Linked DNA regions of Arabidopsis thaliana. The protein of the gene in region 1 purifies or fractionates together with the protein of each later gene. This does not show direct contact. Each region holds a gene or a part of one and is shown on either strand. Other genes may lie near its edges.

Evidence for each region. Proteins that work in one complex are often made in the same cells at the same time.
Region 2: the proteins of ATMDAR2 (region 1) and AT2G20420 fractionate together in Arabidopsis thaliana (co-fractionation; one large-scale study listed by BioGRID). This does not show direct contact.

What each region holds. Positions count from the first base shown.
Region 1 is NC_003076.8:920,603-927,811, forward strand, and holds ATMDAR2 (Pyridine nucleotide-disulfide oxidoreductase family protein), read right to left. Parts: upstream 4,127-7,209; 5' UTR 4,015-4,126; coding exon 3,961-4,014; intron 3,745-3,960; coding exon 3,673-3,744; intron 3,588-3,672; coding exon 3,536-3,587; intron 3,448-3,535; coding exon 3,367-3,447; intron 3,287-3,366; coding exon 3,168-3,286; intron 3,067-3,167; coding exon 2,847-3,066; intron 2,757-2,846; coding exon 2,638-2,756; intron 2,547-2,637; coding exon 2,421-2,546; intron 2,331-2,420; coding exon 2,190-2,330; intron 2,100-2,189; coding exon 1,776-2,099; 3' UTR 1,446-1,775; downstream 1-1,445. Other genes in the region: AT5G03620 (Subtilisin-like serine endopeptidase family protein), read left to right, coding at 1-216, 294-616, 698-1,272. UniProt on the Arabidopsis thaliana protein: Catalyzes the conversion of monodehydroascorbate to ascorbate, oxidizing NADH in the process.
Region 2 is NC_003071.7:8,802,422-8,809,714, reverse strand, and holds AT2G20420 (ATP citrate lyase (ACL) family protein), read right to left. Parts: upstream 4,374-7,293; 5' UTR 4,142-4,373; coding exon 4,043-4,141; intron 3,860-4,042; coding exon 3,749-3,859; intron 3,667-3,748; coding exon 3,555-3,666; intron 3,458-3,554; coding exon 3,393-3,457; intron 3,298-3,392; coding exon 3,220-3,297; intron 3,111-3,219; coding exon 3,036-3,110; intron 2,930-3,035; coding exon 2,777-2,929; intron 2,694-2,776; coding exon 2,559-2,693; intron 2,470-2,558; coding exon 2,305-2,469; intron 2,219-2,304; coding exon 2,096-2,218; intron 2,007-2,095; coding exon 1,857-2,006; 3' UTR 1,544-1,856; downstream 1-1,543. Other genes in the region: RIC6 (ROP-interactive CRIB motif-containing protein 6), read left to right, coding at 1-6, 251-357, 590-1,048; AT2G20410 (RNA-binding ASCH domain protein), read right to left, coding at 5,521-5,562, 5,656-6,195, 6,290-6,349, 6,431-6,481, 6,598-6,665, 6,775-6,918, 7,040-7,154. UniProt on the Arabidopsis thaliana protein: Succinyl-CoA synthetase functions in the citric acid cycle (TCA), coupling the hydrolysis of succinyl-CoA to the synthesis of ATP and thus represents the only step of substrate-level phosphorylation in the TCA.

The DNA.
Region 1 (7,209 bases):
TAAAGTGATGGGGAAGGTAGTTTACTGTGAAGCAGGACGAGAAGAAGGAGGCAATGGAGGTCAAGGTCAAGACCATGTTGTGAGAAGTTTAAAAGGAGCTGGTGTGATCGTTCAACTTCTAGAACCAACTGATATGGCTACTTCAACGCTCATTGCTGGCTCTTATGTTTTCTTCGAAGACGGTACAAAGATCACTGAATACATCAACTCCACCAAGTAAATCAATCAATCTCTTCTCTCTATGTCTTACTTCTATTATTCTTGCTGTTCCTAACTCTTATCGAACTTCACAGAAATCCTCAAGCGGTTATCTTTAAGACAAAGACAACCAAAATGTTAGCTCCATCGATTTCTTCCTTCTCAGCAAGAGGACCTCAACGAATAAGTCCCAACATTCTCAAGCCTGACATATCAGCGCCGGGACTAAACATTCTCGCAGCATACTCGAAGCTAGCATCGGTAACCGGTTATCCAGACGACAATAGACGAACACTGTTCTCCATAATGTCAGGAACGTCAATGGCTTGTCCTCACGCAGCAGCTGCAGCAGCTTATGTCAAATCATTCCATCCTGATTGGTCTCCAGCCGCAATCAAATCCGCCCTTATGACAACAGGTAACTAAAATCATCAAACAAAAAAGCTCAAAGCGTTCTCAAAAGTAAAAGAAAGTTTCAATCTTTACACTTCCTTTACAGCTACTCCTATGAGAATCAAAGGCAACGAAGCAGAATTAAGTTACGGGTCGGGTCAAATTAACCCGAGAAGAGCGATTCACCCGGGTCTAGTCTACGACATCACAGAGGACGCATACCTAAGATTCCTATGTAAAGAAGGGTACAATAGCACAAGCATCGGACTTTTAACCGGCGATAACAGCAACAACACTACGAAGAAAGAATACAATTGTGAGAATATCAAGCGAGGGTTAGGTTCCGACGGGTTAAATTATCCGTCACTGCACAAGCAAGTGAATTCTACGGAAGCGAAAGTGTCGGAAGTTTTCTATAGAACAGTGACGAATGTCGGATACGGACCATCGACCTACGTGGCTAGGGTTTGGGCACCGAAGGGTTTGAGAGTTGAGGTTGTGCCTAAGGTTATGAGTTTCGAGAGGCCTAAAGAGAAGAGGAATTTTAAGGTTGTGATTGATGGAGTTTGGGATGAGACAATGAAAGGGATTGTGTCTGCTTCTGTGGAATGGGATGATTCGAGAGGACATCTTGTGAGAAGTCCAATTCTGTTGTTTCGATCGGATAACGATTACCGTTAAAAAAGACAAGACTGCTTTTTTTTAGACCCTTGTTTGTTTGTTTTTTGTTTTTTAGTGTTTGGTTATGATTTCTATTTCTAGTGTTGTTTTTTTTCTCCTTTTTAGTGTTGAAATAAATAGGAACATATACAATAATTCTCCCAAACTTTAGTCGAATTAAAACTTGAATAGTGTTGTTGGAGAAGGACCAATCTCCAACAAGTTAGTAAAAATGTCTACAAAATTTGGACATAAAAAACTCATATGAAGACAAGGTTTTTGTAACGCCGGATCCGAGAAAAGTGACTGAAATGTTTCCAACAAGTTTGGTGTACCATTTTCGAAGAAAGAAATATCAGAAAAGTGAATTGAGTAGCTTTCAATTTTATTTTGGAACCAAACAATCACAAGAAAGTGGGTCAAACAAATAACAAAAATGTCGACTCTGCTATCATAATAGCAAAGTGACATAAAAGCCACTCTGAACTCAAAGCTCACACTAACACACAACCTAGAAAGGCAATTTATATATTTGTGGCGAAGGAAAGGCCTTCCTTAGATAGCACTTCAAGGCTCTCAACAGAAGGTTGTGCTCGTGCAAGTTTAGCAATTGCATTGTTCTCTTCAGGACTTCCACCTTCTAAAAATGCTCCAACCACTTTCCGTTCTTTAATCCAGTAGCTCCCGAATTTCGGCTTTGGCGATTCCGGGTCATTGTCCCCAAACAATACGCTTTCTCCAACGTTGTCACCGTAGAATTGCCATGAGAGATCAAAGGCTCGAGAGTAAAAGTATGGAAGATAGTCATATTCCGGAATTGAGTTCCCTTCCTCAGCCGCCTTGATTGCCTACAAAATCATTATATCAATCGATTCAATTAGGATGATTTTATACAGCTCCTTCATTAAGACAGGTTGAAGAAGCATTATAATTATTACCTTTACGGCTTGTTCAGCGGATTTGCGAGCATGGTCAACGTGTTCAACGCGTCTCATTTCATTGTAGAGTTTCATTGGGAAGGTGGCTACATCACCAATGGCGTATACATCTGGAAGGCTTGTTTTGAAGAACCCATCAGTCTGCAATCAAAGAAAGATCTCATGAGTAAACAATAATAATAAGAACTATATCTCAGATACAGAAGAAAATGGAGTATGCAAGTCACAAACCTTCAAACCACCCTTCTCTTCTTCAACTTGATCTTTGAAGAGTGATATAATTGGTCTACCACCGACACCCACTATCACAATATCAGCTTCTAACGTTCTTCCGTCTTTCAATTTCACCTCAGTGACCTGCATCATTAAGCAACAGAGAGATATTGTTGAAGCAGCGGAGAGAAAAACTGCTGTTTGTCAAGTTTGAACGGTGATGCTAATTGCTAACCTCTCCATTTGAGTTGGTAGTGAAACCAGATGCAACAGTGCCTTTGACAATGTTAATTCCTTTGTTGGCATAGTAACCCTCGTAGAAGGAAGCAATGCCAGCGGTGAAAAGCCGAGGCACTTTTCAAAGACACAACAAAAAGGAAAGGTGTTAAGCAAAGGGAATACGATGAGAATTCTATGGTAGTGGTTTGGCTTGTATCAACTTACTGCACCAAGGTTCTGGATAAACCATGGTAACGTCGAGGTTGTTAGCCTTCAGAGCAGCACCGAGTTCAAGACCGATGTAACCGCCACCAACAACCACAGCCTTTCCTTTTTCCTTTGTTTCCATTGCATAAGCAAGGTAATCAGCATCTTCGAGTTCTCTCAGGTAGAATATATTCTTAGCATCTGCACCTGGGACGCCAAAATCTGACAACCTTATGACCTACACAATTTAAGAAATTCCTTAGAAGAGATGCAAAAAGAAAAAAGAGACTAAAAATGGAAACTTCCAAAGTAAGAAGTGCAAGGATAGATTGTGCTCACAGAAGAACCAGTTGCAGCTAGCAAAGTTTGGTACTTGAAGACTTGTCCAGTCCCACTGACAAGTGTCTTCGCAGCAAGATCTGCTTTGACAATCTCTGTGCCCAAAATCAGCTCAATACCTGCAGAAACGACATATGAGAATGAATGAGAGACATTGAGCTAAAAAAACGCTTAAAGCACAAAAAAAAAGGAAACTCACCTTTCTCTTTGTACCATTGAGGGAACTGTCTCTCTCCCCCAATTCCAGCAGCAACATAGAAATTCGGAAGTGTAGCTTTATCTATATACCATAAGAACAAACAAATCTAATTCAGAAACCACGCACAGACTAAACTAAATCTCCAAATGATGTAGAATGAAGTTTTTACTTTCGAGGTGGATATATCCCTTGCTAAGTGCAGGACGCTCATATGGAGGAACCTAATTAACACCAAAAAATTGCCAATACTATAAATAACAAGACAAGAATCTAGCTTAAATTTAGTTCCAAGTCATGAAAACTTACTTGTTCCCTGGAAATGATAGCAAGTTCACCAGGCTTGACACCTTGGTTGAAGAACTCTCTCGCCGCGTATCCCTGTGAATCACAACATCCCAAAACAACAATAAATTGGGAATCTAGTTCCTATCTTCCCGTAATCATAGAAATCACTAGATCTAGCGATACAATCTACTCTACTTCTCAGAGTGATAAGGATACAAATGAGCAGTAGTACAGTGTGATGATTCGTAAGCGAAGAGATTGAGGAAAAAAAACAAATCCGATGAAGAAGAAGAACAGAGAGAGACTTACGGCGGCGACACCACCTCCGACGATCACATACTTGAAGCTCTTTTCTTCTGCCATTGATGCGATCGAATCGTCTCTCTTTGATTTGTCTTTTTTCCTTTTCTTCGTCTTTTTGGATCCGAGAAATGTGATTGGGTCAGAGGTTTTTATAGGGGACTTTGTCCAGTATAGAAGGAATCTTTAAACGTGGCTTAATTTAAACCGTTAGATATCCCGCTTCGTGCACAAATCGAAATCGAACCGTTACAAGTCAGCGTCTTATATTTTTGACCCGGTCTTATTTAACACGTGACAGATCTGGTCGATGTAAAACGGACATTCAGATTTAAAATTCCGGTATTACTCGGTTTACTGATTACATTTCACTTTCAGTCTTTCATATTTGGAGAATTTTATTTACATACCAATTACCAAGAGAAAATATATGAAAGGAATCATAAATCTAGTGTCAGCAACCACTAGTCAAATTGATGAATATAGTAGAATATCTTTATGGAGTTGTTGGTTGGTTTTAATTTCTTTATTAGACCAATCTGTAGTTTTATGTATAGTTTAAGACTTTAAGTTTAATTCGATTATTTGTGTCAGTGAATCATTTCCATAATTTATTTGGATATAATGTAAAGACAGTTAAAACAAGGACCTTATCTTGATCCCTAAACCCGATAGTACAAAAAGGATATGTATTTACTACACTAATCATATGATTTTGTTTGCATAAACAAAGATGAATAACCTTAAGACCATAAATTATAGTAATTAATCAAACTACTAATAATCTAAATGATTTATGTCGTTATCTTATGTTTTAAGATCTACTACAGTAAAGAAAGAAACTACCTAGTTTTGTATAATTAGTATATTACAATAACATTAACATATGACCTAATGTGAATAAGAGTATTACATTAATAGTTTTGAGAGGAAAGATGATTTGGATTTTAGTCAAAAGAGGAGAAAAAATTGTCAAGAATGATGACCTAAATTCCAACCAGATAGAATTTCCAGAAATTGGGACCTAAATATTAATGATGTAATGTCACTGTATTAAAGACCTAAACTATTAATGATGTGGACCTTGGCGGCCTAAAACTCTTCCATGCCTACAATAATGAGAGTTTCAAATCCAATTTAATGAGAAAAGAACAGAGATAGGGCTGTACTAGAACACTAATTTACCGGACGTATCAAAAGTACCCTATTGATTTTGACATATGTTAATAAGTTAAAATGTACTTTGTATTATAATTATTCCTTATGATTTTGACATTTGTTACCAATCTTCTTGGAAGATTAGTAATTAGCACTCGAATACAAAGAGTACTATTTTTAGTTTACTGCATGCATGATTTTGACATTTGTTACTAAATCTTCTTGGAAGATGCTAGGATGACGAATACTTCTTACAGTGACAAGTGACAACCATGTAGAAGAAAGGATCTAAATGACTGACTAAATTCATCGGTTACTTTTGTTGTGGTTATAGATATTGACGGGCTTCTGTTAATGGGCCGGTCCGATCTATCAGATTTCGAAGAATACCCACGAATAGTTTTTATGAAGTACTCACTTTGTTGGATCCATATACAATATTACAAATTATTCCAAAACTCCCAAGTCAACTGACCTGTTGTTAGAAATAAATTTTCAAAAATGCGAACATAACTTTCACTTGTACCCTAGATGCAGACTTAGTGCTAAGCACAAGGGCTCAAATATTTGACCATAATGAAAGATGTTTTAACTTAATAGTATAAACTTATTAGCAAGTCAAGAAAAGGTCAACGTTACTATTTAGAAGACCGATATTAATATAGGGTATGTGATAATTTGCAATTGTTACATTATTCACGTATTAAGTTACTTAAATTTTGTTGACACTTTTACGTGCGGATGTGATTCACATAAAGCTTTATTATTTCGGTATGAGAGTATTGAGTATTCTATGTTCTACCTAAAAAAACATGGTGACAACCCTAATTAATATACAAAGTTTACTAAATTATTTGTTGTGGTCCATATCTTCCTGAATTTGCGAACATTTTAAACTTTAAGAATACTTTAAAATGCTTTAAAAATCAGCTTATCTTTAAGAAAACTAGTAAAAATTTCAATAAGTTAATGTTATTTTAACTTTTGAATATTCAAGAGAGAAACATTATAATTTCCCTCGAGCGAAGTGATATGTAGTAAATTATACTTCTAGGGTTATAGTGATGAAAGACCAGCATTATTGTCAAAATGTACATTAGGTCCATCATTATCACCTTTTTCTTAAGTTTTGATCATTTTCTTACCTAATATATACATGAATCACACAATTCTGGAAAAACAATCTTCTTGCCAAACAAAAAATCTGGAGTTTTCATTGAAAAGTGACATGGTTCATAATAATCTACTAAAACAAGATTAAACTCTTGTGCTTAAGAGTTAAAATTTCGAAGACACTTGTCAACGGAAAAATCAGTAGTGATCAACATGTCAATATAGTCTCCATCGAATTGAACAAAAATATTTAATAATCTCGTTCTTACATGAGACCCACAAACATATGAATATGGGTCCCATGATTTGTTCTTCAAACTGCCCAGAAAAATGCAGAATCCTTTTGAAACCTCTTCAAAAATATACCGACAAAAAACCCCAACAAACATAAAGATAGAAGAGACAGAAGCCCAAACAACAGCTTTTCTTGTCTCTCTGCTTCGTCAATAATCTCTTCAGGTACTGTCTTACTCTTGATCATAGATGATTCATCATGATGAAACTAGAGTTTTTCTTTTGTTATGCTTTGTTATGCGATAGTACATGTCTGCTTAAGAAAAAGGTAACATCATAGAAACACGACTTTGCATAAAGTTTATATTCATTTTTCTTGTTTCAAAAAGATTGAACTTTTGATTTGACGATGATTATGTTTCATATGAAAAATTCTCACTTTTGAATTTGACATGATCTCTGTGGAACTAAAGACATGAACCCATTAATATCAAAAGAACCATCTGCAGTTGTTACAGTTTGAGATATGTGACTGTTTCATAGGTATTGTGTTGTGTGGTATGTTCCTTAATTTTTAGTCTCTGATCAAAATATCTTGTTAATAAAGCATTAGTGATTTTTTTTCTCCCATATTCCTCTGCTCTGCTCTGTTTTGCTCTGTTCTTATAAATCTGTGTTCTCTTTATAATTAGAATTTCATAGTTTTGATGCACTCTTTAACAAGAAAAATCACATACCTTCCTTTAAACTGTG
Region 2 (7,293 bases), on another chromosome or scaffold:
TATTTGGTAAGTTCACCCTATAGATCTCTTGTTTAATTTCTTCTGATTTTTGTTCGCATAAGAGTTTATACATATGATAAATCCTTTTTTCCTTATATAAAAACTCGAACTTCATGATCAGTTTTGAATTACTATGATGCAAATCACGTAGAAAATTTGCATGCATGCATTGCAAGTACGTTTATATGGATTGAGGATGAATCTAAATGATTGATTATACTTTCTTGTTTCTTTCTTTTAATGATGATAGAAAGTGAAAAAGAAGAAGAAATACAAATCGGAAATCCAACGGACGTAAAACATGTTGCCCATATCGGTTGGGATGGACCATCCGCTAATGCCACCGCACCAAGCTGGGTATGTTTTTACTCTTTTCTACTTCTTTGGTAATTCTTAAAAGGCGTAAACAATAATCGTGATAAAATAGGCAAATGAAAGATTGTTTTATTATCCTACGCATATTTGGATGGATGTGAGCTCTAGATTAATACTTGACTCAAATCTACGAGGTCATATATATTAAAAATTTGACCTAAAACGTTTTCAGAAAATGTCGAATTGATTTGGTTAATGTTATGTGATTTGAAAGATGACTGAGTTCAACTCCGGCGGGGGATTCGAATCTGCTGAAGGAGTCGGAGAAGATGATTCCTCCATAAAATGTATGTCGGAATATGGTGGTCGGTCTAGAGATTTGCCAAACCTACCAAAATCTACGAGGAAAGCAGCGTCCGAGAAAGGTTCTCCGACAAAAGACAAATCATCAGACAAAACTAAACGTCGCTCTTCTAACAAAGGGACATCGTCATCGTCGAGGAGACCAAAGGAAGCCACTGAAGAACAAGACGAGTTGTCTTCTTGGCCTAGTGGATTACCGGAAATTCCAAAGAAATCTAGGAGGAAGAAGAAGTCGACGAAAGAAACCGCGGTTAATGGAGGGTCATCAAGATCGACAAGAAGATCTGATGTCGATAACATGTCGGAATATATGTCTGAGACTGGTTCTGTGAGATCTATGCCTCAATTCGACAATAGAGATGATTTTTGAAAGGAGAGACGACATATATAGAGACTTTGCTGCTAGCTCCAAATGGCTAATTTTCATTGAACACAACACACCAATTGTTAGATTTTCTTGTTCATTCTTGTACTATTATTAACTATGCAAGGAGAATTTAGACAAATATTTTTCGGTGCTATCATCCAAATCACTTGAACATAGATCATCATTGACGTCGATCATAAATATAAAAGAGCATTCTTACAGAACAAATCAACAGCATCTTTCACTTTACTAGAAACCCTATATATGAATAAAAACTTCTTGGACAAGAGCTGAGTAGTGTTAGTGTGATTTTCCTCTTCATCATAGCCCTCAGCAATAGAGCTGCATCACTACAACAATGGAGCTGCAATCCTGGTCAAAAGTTTTTGTAAATAATCTTCTTTCCTTTTGGTAATATAATTAACATTCTATCAAAAAATAAGTTTATCGTTTTGACCGTTAAATTGGAAACAGAGGACAGCTCTGTTTTGTGAAAGCCTTTTGTAGAGAGAGGGATTAATTTTGTTGTTTCAGTGACAGCTATAGTGTGGCTTCCCACAAAAACGATTTTTATTCATGATAGGAACAGTACGTATGAGATAAACTTGAAACCCTAGTATCAACCATATGAGTTGGTTAAATACAAAAAGATATTGAGAATTCTGATTTGAATCTCTTTGGATGGATCACACAAAAAAAGGAGACCAGTTCATTATTGATCTGTTTGAGGAAATGATATCCGCAAGAAAGTGTAAATTGGGCGTCAACCACAAAACAATTAACAAACCGGCTTTTGGTATATATAGAGAGATTAGTGAGCTAAAGCTTTAACCGCTTTCTCAGCTGCATCATCCAAATCATCAGCTGTTATGAGTTTCATTCCACTTTCCTTGAGGATTCTCTTTCCCTGCTCAACATTCGTTCCTTCTAGACGAACCACCACTGGCACTTTCAATGCGACCTGTCCTCGCCATTCCACACAAACACTCGGATTTATTTTCAATCATGAATATATGAAATATTATGGTAACAAGGTTGTTTCTCACTCACCTCTTTTGCAGCGTTCACGATTCCACTAGCAATCACATCACATTTCATTATCCCACCAAATATGTTCACCAAGATTGCTTTCACTTTATCGTCCGATGTCAGTATCTTAAACGCTTCCACCACCTTATTTTTTGACACAAACCTCTATTAAAATTGGTTTTCATTCCAATGATTCCCAAAAGTGAAGAAAGAAAGAAGGTTCCTTTTACCTGGTGCTCAGAAGCATTTCCACCAACGTCAAGGAAATTGGCGGGTGTTCCACCGTGTAATTTAATGATGTCCATGGTTGCCATGGCCAATCCAGCACCATTCACCATGCAACCAATCTCTCCATCTAAACCGATGTAGTTCAGGTCAACTTTAGCAGCAGCCACCTATGAGACACAACACACTATTCCTTTTAACATCCTATCGAATTAACATAACAATGGCTTTCTTGATGATACAAGAGATAGACAGAGACCTCTCGTGGATCCTCCTGTGTTGGATCACGCATGGCGAAAACCTCTTTTTGTCGGAACGCAGCATTATCATCGAAGTTCAATTTGGCATCAGCAGCTACCAATTGATTAGTTGATGTCTCCGCAAGGGGATTGATCTACAAGAGAAATTTGGAGGTTCAACAAAAGATATTTATAACTGAAGAAGTGTGTAGAAAAAAGACAGTGAGAGAGAACTCACTTCCAACATTGTGCAGTCAGTCTTGCGGAAGAGTTCGTATAGCTTCTTCACTTGTTCAATCGAATCTTTTCTGTCAGCAGCTTTGGGAGCCAGACCATCCACAACCTTAGCAGCATCTTCATCAGTGATTCCTGCAAATACATCAATTGGTACCTACGCAAAACCATGACTTGAGGTGTCAAAAACCCGCATGAGAAAGAATCTCAGAATGATATTTACTGGAGATCAGACCACCAAATACGAATCAAACAGTAACAACCTTGATGATCATGTCAGGGAACTTCTCAGCAAGATCTTCAATACTGGTACCACCCTTTTTACAGGCAATGATCAACTGATATAGGAAAGGAAAGCGTTTTAGATATTACAGCAGGGTATGAAAACAGCATGCCTAGAAGTAGGGAAATGAATAGCAGCAGCTCATCATTTGCGTAGTAGCATACCGGTCCAGCAGATTTACGGTCCAGAATAATGGAAAAGTACATCTCATTGACGAGTGACAATTTCTCACACAAGTAAACCTGCTCAAAATGAAGACACAATGAATAAACAAAGGTGCAAGAGCAGTGACAATAATAGAAGAAAAAACACCAATCATGAATAACAGATAACAAACCTTGCTAACTACTTTGCCTTGAGGACCAGTTTGCTTGGTGACAAGTACTTGTCCTAGCATCTTTCCTACAAGTAATAAAGATTTGAAATAGATCAATAACTTGTACAACAACAACAAAAAACAGACTCCAGAAAGCCACAAACAAGAAATCCTGTACAATACCAGCAATCTCTTCAGCCTCATCACGTTTAACAATGTGAACACCACCCTTAAGACCACTCTTGAATGTTCCAAGACCTCTTCCACCAGCCAAAATCTGGCTCTTAACAACCAACTGTATCACACGAAAATGACACTCTTTCAATTAGACAACAACTAATAATAGAGATTAGAATCGAATCCCTCACTGAATTTACCTCGCTTTCATTAGGGAAAACATCTTGAATAGCCTTTTTAACTTCTTCCAACGAAGAAGCAGCTACTCCTTTCGGCACATTAACTCCATATTTCCCCATCAATTCAGCTCCCTGGTTGTATCAGAATCACAATACAAACTTTACATTATCCTAAACCCAGAGAATTCTATCAACCACAAATCAATCAGTGGATCAACACAGAAACAACAGACAAAGACACAGATCGTACTCGAATTCTGACTTGACAAAAGCGAATCTAGGCAACTATCAAATGGAAATGAAGAGAAGAAGAACCTGATACTCGTGGATGTTGAGACGACGAAGCTGTTGGTTCTGCCATTTCCCGGAGATGGAGAGAGATCTGGACACGAGCTTGTTCACCAATCCCCTCATCGTTGGATTTGTTAGTAGTCGAAAAGTAGCCCAAGAGAAAATGAGAAAATGTAGAAAGAGCAGAGAATAGTCGCAGCTATGAATGATCGAGTCTAACCCTAATTTTTTCCTACTTTATGAATTTTCAATTTAACCCTCTCTATTCTTCTATGTCGCCGGCTCATTTAATTCCAAAATATTTTTGGTAACTCTTGTTAGAAAAAATCTAAGATTTTATTTTCAAAAAGTCTATATATGAAAATACCAAAGTACCATTTTAATTCACTAACAATATAACAATAAAAAAACTAAGCAATACAATTTTTCAATAAAAATGCTAACCCACTAGAGATTGACATCAGATATATCGCCGGATAATTTTTTCCTTTATAAATCTATAATTTTATTGTATATAACATCGACTGATTGTGTATTATTTGTAGTATTATTTTACTTGTATATGACTAAATATTTATATGAATAAATTTTATCCGACTTATCGACAAGACAAATTTTTAGTTACTGTATTTTAGATAATAATTTTCAGTTTATTTGGTTTTTTAATTTCCAGTTATTTAATTTTGAGTCTAATTAAAATAAAAAAATGATCATTTATTGTTTTCTCAATACATTTGATATTATTTACTTTCTGAAAAAATGAGGATACTTACAAAAGTTTCAATTATTTATTATGTACTTATGATATTACTGTTATCATCACCAAAATGAGCTAAGCCAAAAGCTTTAGTATTACTGTAAGGAATCTTCCACCGGTACGGTTGAGTAAGTTGAGTAAACCGGGATTACTCAAAAAGAAAAAAATTGTTGTCATTGGAACATAAGCCCCGTTCAGTTAGTCCGATGAGGACCAAGTGAATAACTGTCGTGAATCGAACGGCCATGATGTCATCGACGGAGAGACAACAGAAGCTCCACACACGCGTCTCAGCTTATAGAATCTCTCCACCGCATGATTCTCTCGTTACCGAGGCCGCATCTCTGCGAAAAGTGGCCCGGGGACTTTCCTGGGTCGGAACTTAGACAAGCCCATGTGACCCATTCACTTTGTCCAATGACTATTGTTACTTGTTTTCGTTTTCGACTAAATATATACACAACTGATATTTTGAAACTACCGATGTGGGACAAACCCCCCAAAAATATAAACATTCTTCTAAATCTGACCAAAATATAGTAATTTAGTAAAATTCGACTAAACAGTCTACTCAAAACTCATTGCTCTGTGTATTTATTAGTCCACATGATTATTCTCTCATATAAGTTAAATTGAATGTGTATACAATAAACCTATAAACTAACTCTAAAACGAACTTCTCAAACTTTGAAATGAACATGTTTTAGAAAGAATGCAAAATATGGTACAACCTTGACGCATTAGATCAAGAAGGTGGCTTCAAGTTCCTAATTGCAGCGGCCATGATCTGAAATAATTCCACATGTGAAATAAAATCAGACAACAACAAAGTCAACAATTATTGTTGTAATTATCGCTTAATGTAAGATAATAAACGTACCCGGGCAGATCCAGGATCAAACCTTCTTTCACCAATTCTTGTATTCCTGTCCTCACTCTTTGTGACTGCACTTCTTTGACTAGATTCAACTTTGCTGCTGCTGTTGCTGCTTTCACTACATACTTCTTCACCCATCTGTGTGCCTCTGTTCTTGCTTCTTGTTCTATAAGTACGGTCAGACGTTCCACCAGAACCAAGAACCGGGTTATCTAGGGATTCTGCTGCTTCATCTTCAATAACTTTGCTCTTGCTTCTTGTTGTGTAATCAAATATATTATTTGTTTGGAGACTTTGTCCCTTCTTAGAAAATTGTGTCGCCGCTGCTTTTGCACCGGCGATTGCAGCTGTGAGGCTGGTAACTTGCTTGATTGCAGCTGTGAGGCTGGTAACTTGCTTTGAATCAAGTTCTTTCTTCTCTTGCATTGTACAAGGAATAGAACCAGGTTTTAAGGAAAACGGGTCTTTTGGGTCAGGAAGAGGGAATTTCACCTTAAAAGAGTTTTGAGAAGGCATAAGACCTCTAGCTGCTGCTACATAAATCTGTTTCATTTAGAAATACAGTAAGTAACTGGTACTAATTTATACTACAACAAGAACCCACCAATCCCTAGGCTTTGAAGAACAGCAAGATTACCTTATTCTCTAAGTTATAGACGCCCTGGTACCCACGCATCTCAAATGGAATAATCAGTTTCTGGAAGAGTTCACAGAATCAAATGTCAAATAAGTCAATCTAAACAAAACAGTAACAGCCAAAAGATGAAGTGACTTTCACCTGTGGCTTCTCACATAGCCAACAAAAGTTAGTTTGTCCTTCAAGCCTCACCTATTACATACCAAAACAACAGTTGAGGTTTTTGCTTATTATACTAAAGAATCATCGATAACGAGCTGTTTTCAATGTCAAAGAATAGAACACAGTAATAAGGAAAATTGTTGTACCCCTTGAGGTAAAGCATCCCAGTTCTGAAGCTCATCGGAGGTGACACATCCAACAACCTCAACACATCCTATACCAACGAAACCGTATTCAAATATGTTCCAAGCAAAATCAGGTCTTGCTTATACTATAACATGGAACTTAGACTTTCAAATATGGAGATTAGTAAACAACGATACCAATTAGTCTTGAAACAGGGTAATGTTGGGGGAATTGAATATCAGTGATCCCATCAACAGCATAAATTTGTTGGTAAAACTCTTCCATTGCTTTGATAGTAGCTTCATCAGGTACTTTACTTGCAGCATGAATCCATAAACGGCCTATTTACATGTTTAAAAACAACATCATCTTCTTCTTCAAAGTTATGCAATTATCACAGTGTTTCAAATTCAAATTAAATCTCAGTCGAATCCCTGAGTTCAAAATTAGGGTTTTTTTTACCTCGAATTGGGGAAGGCCAGGATCTGCCTTCGATGCGTTTGATACCATGGACGAGAAGTGATGCCCATGGCTGATGCATGGTCAAGCACGGGTTCTTGTAATTCCCACGACTCATCACTCTTTTTCTTCCAAAATCCAAATATCAAAACCTATACTTAAACCTAATCGAATCCAAATCAACCAATCACCAAGGATATATCCAATTAAGCTCAAACCTAGAATATGAACAATTCCAAAATCGAATTTTTCTCACC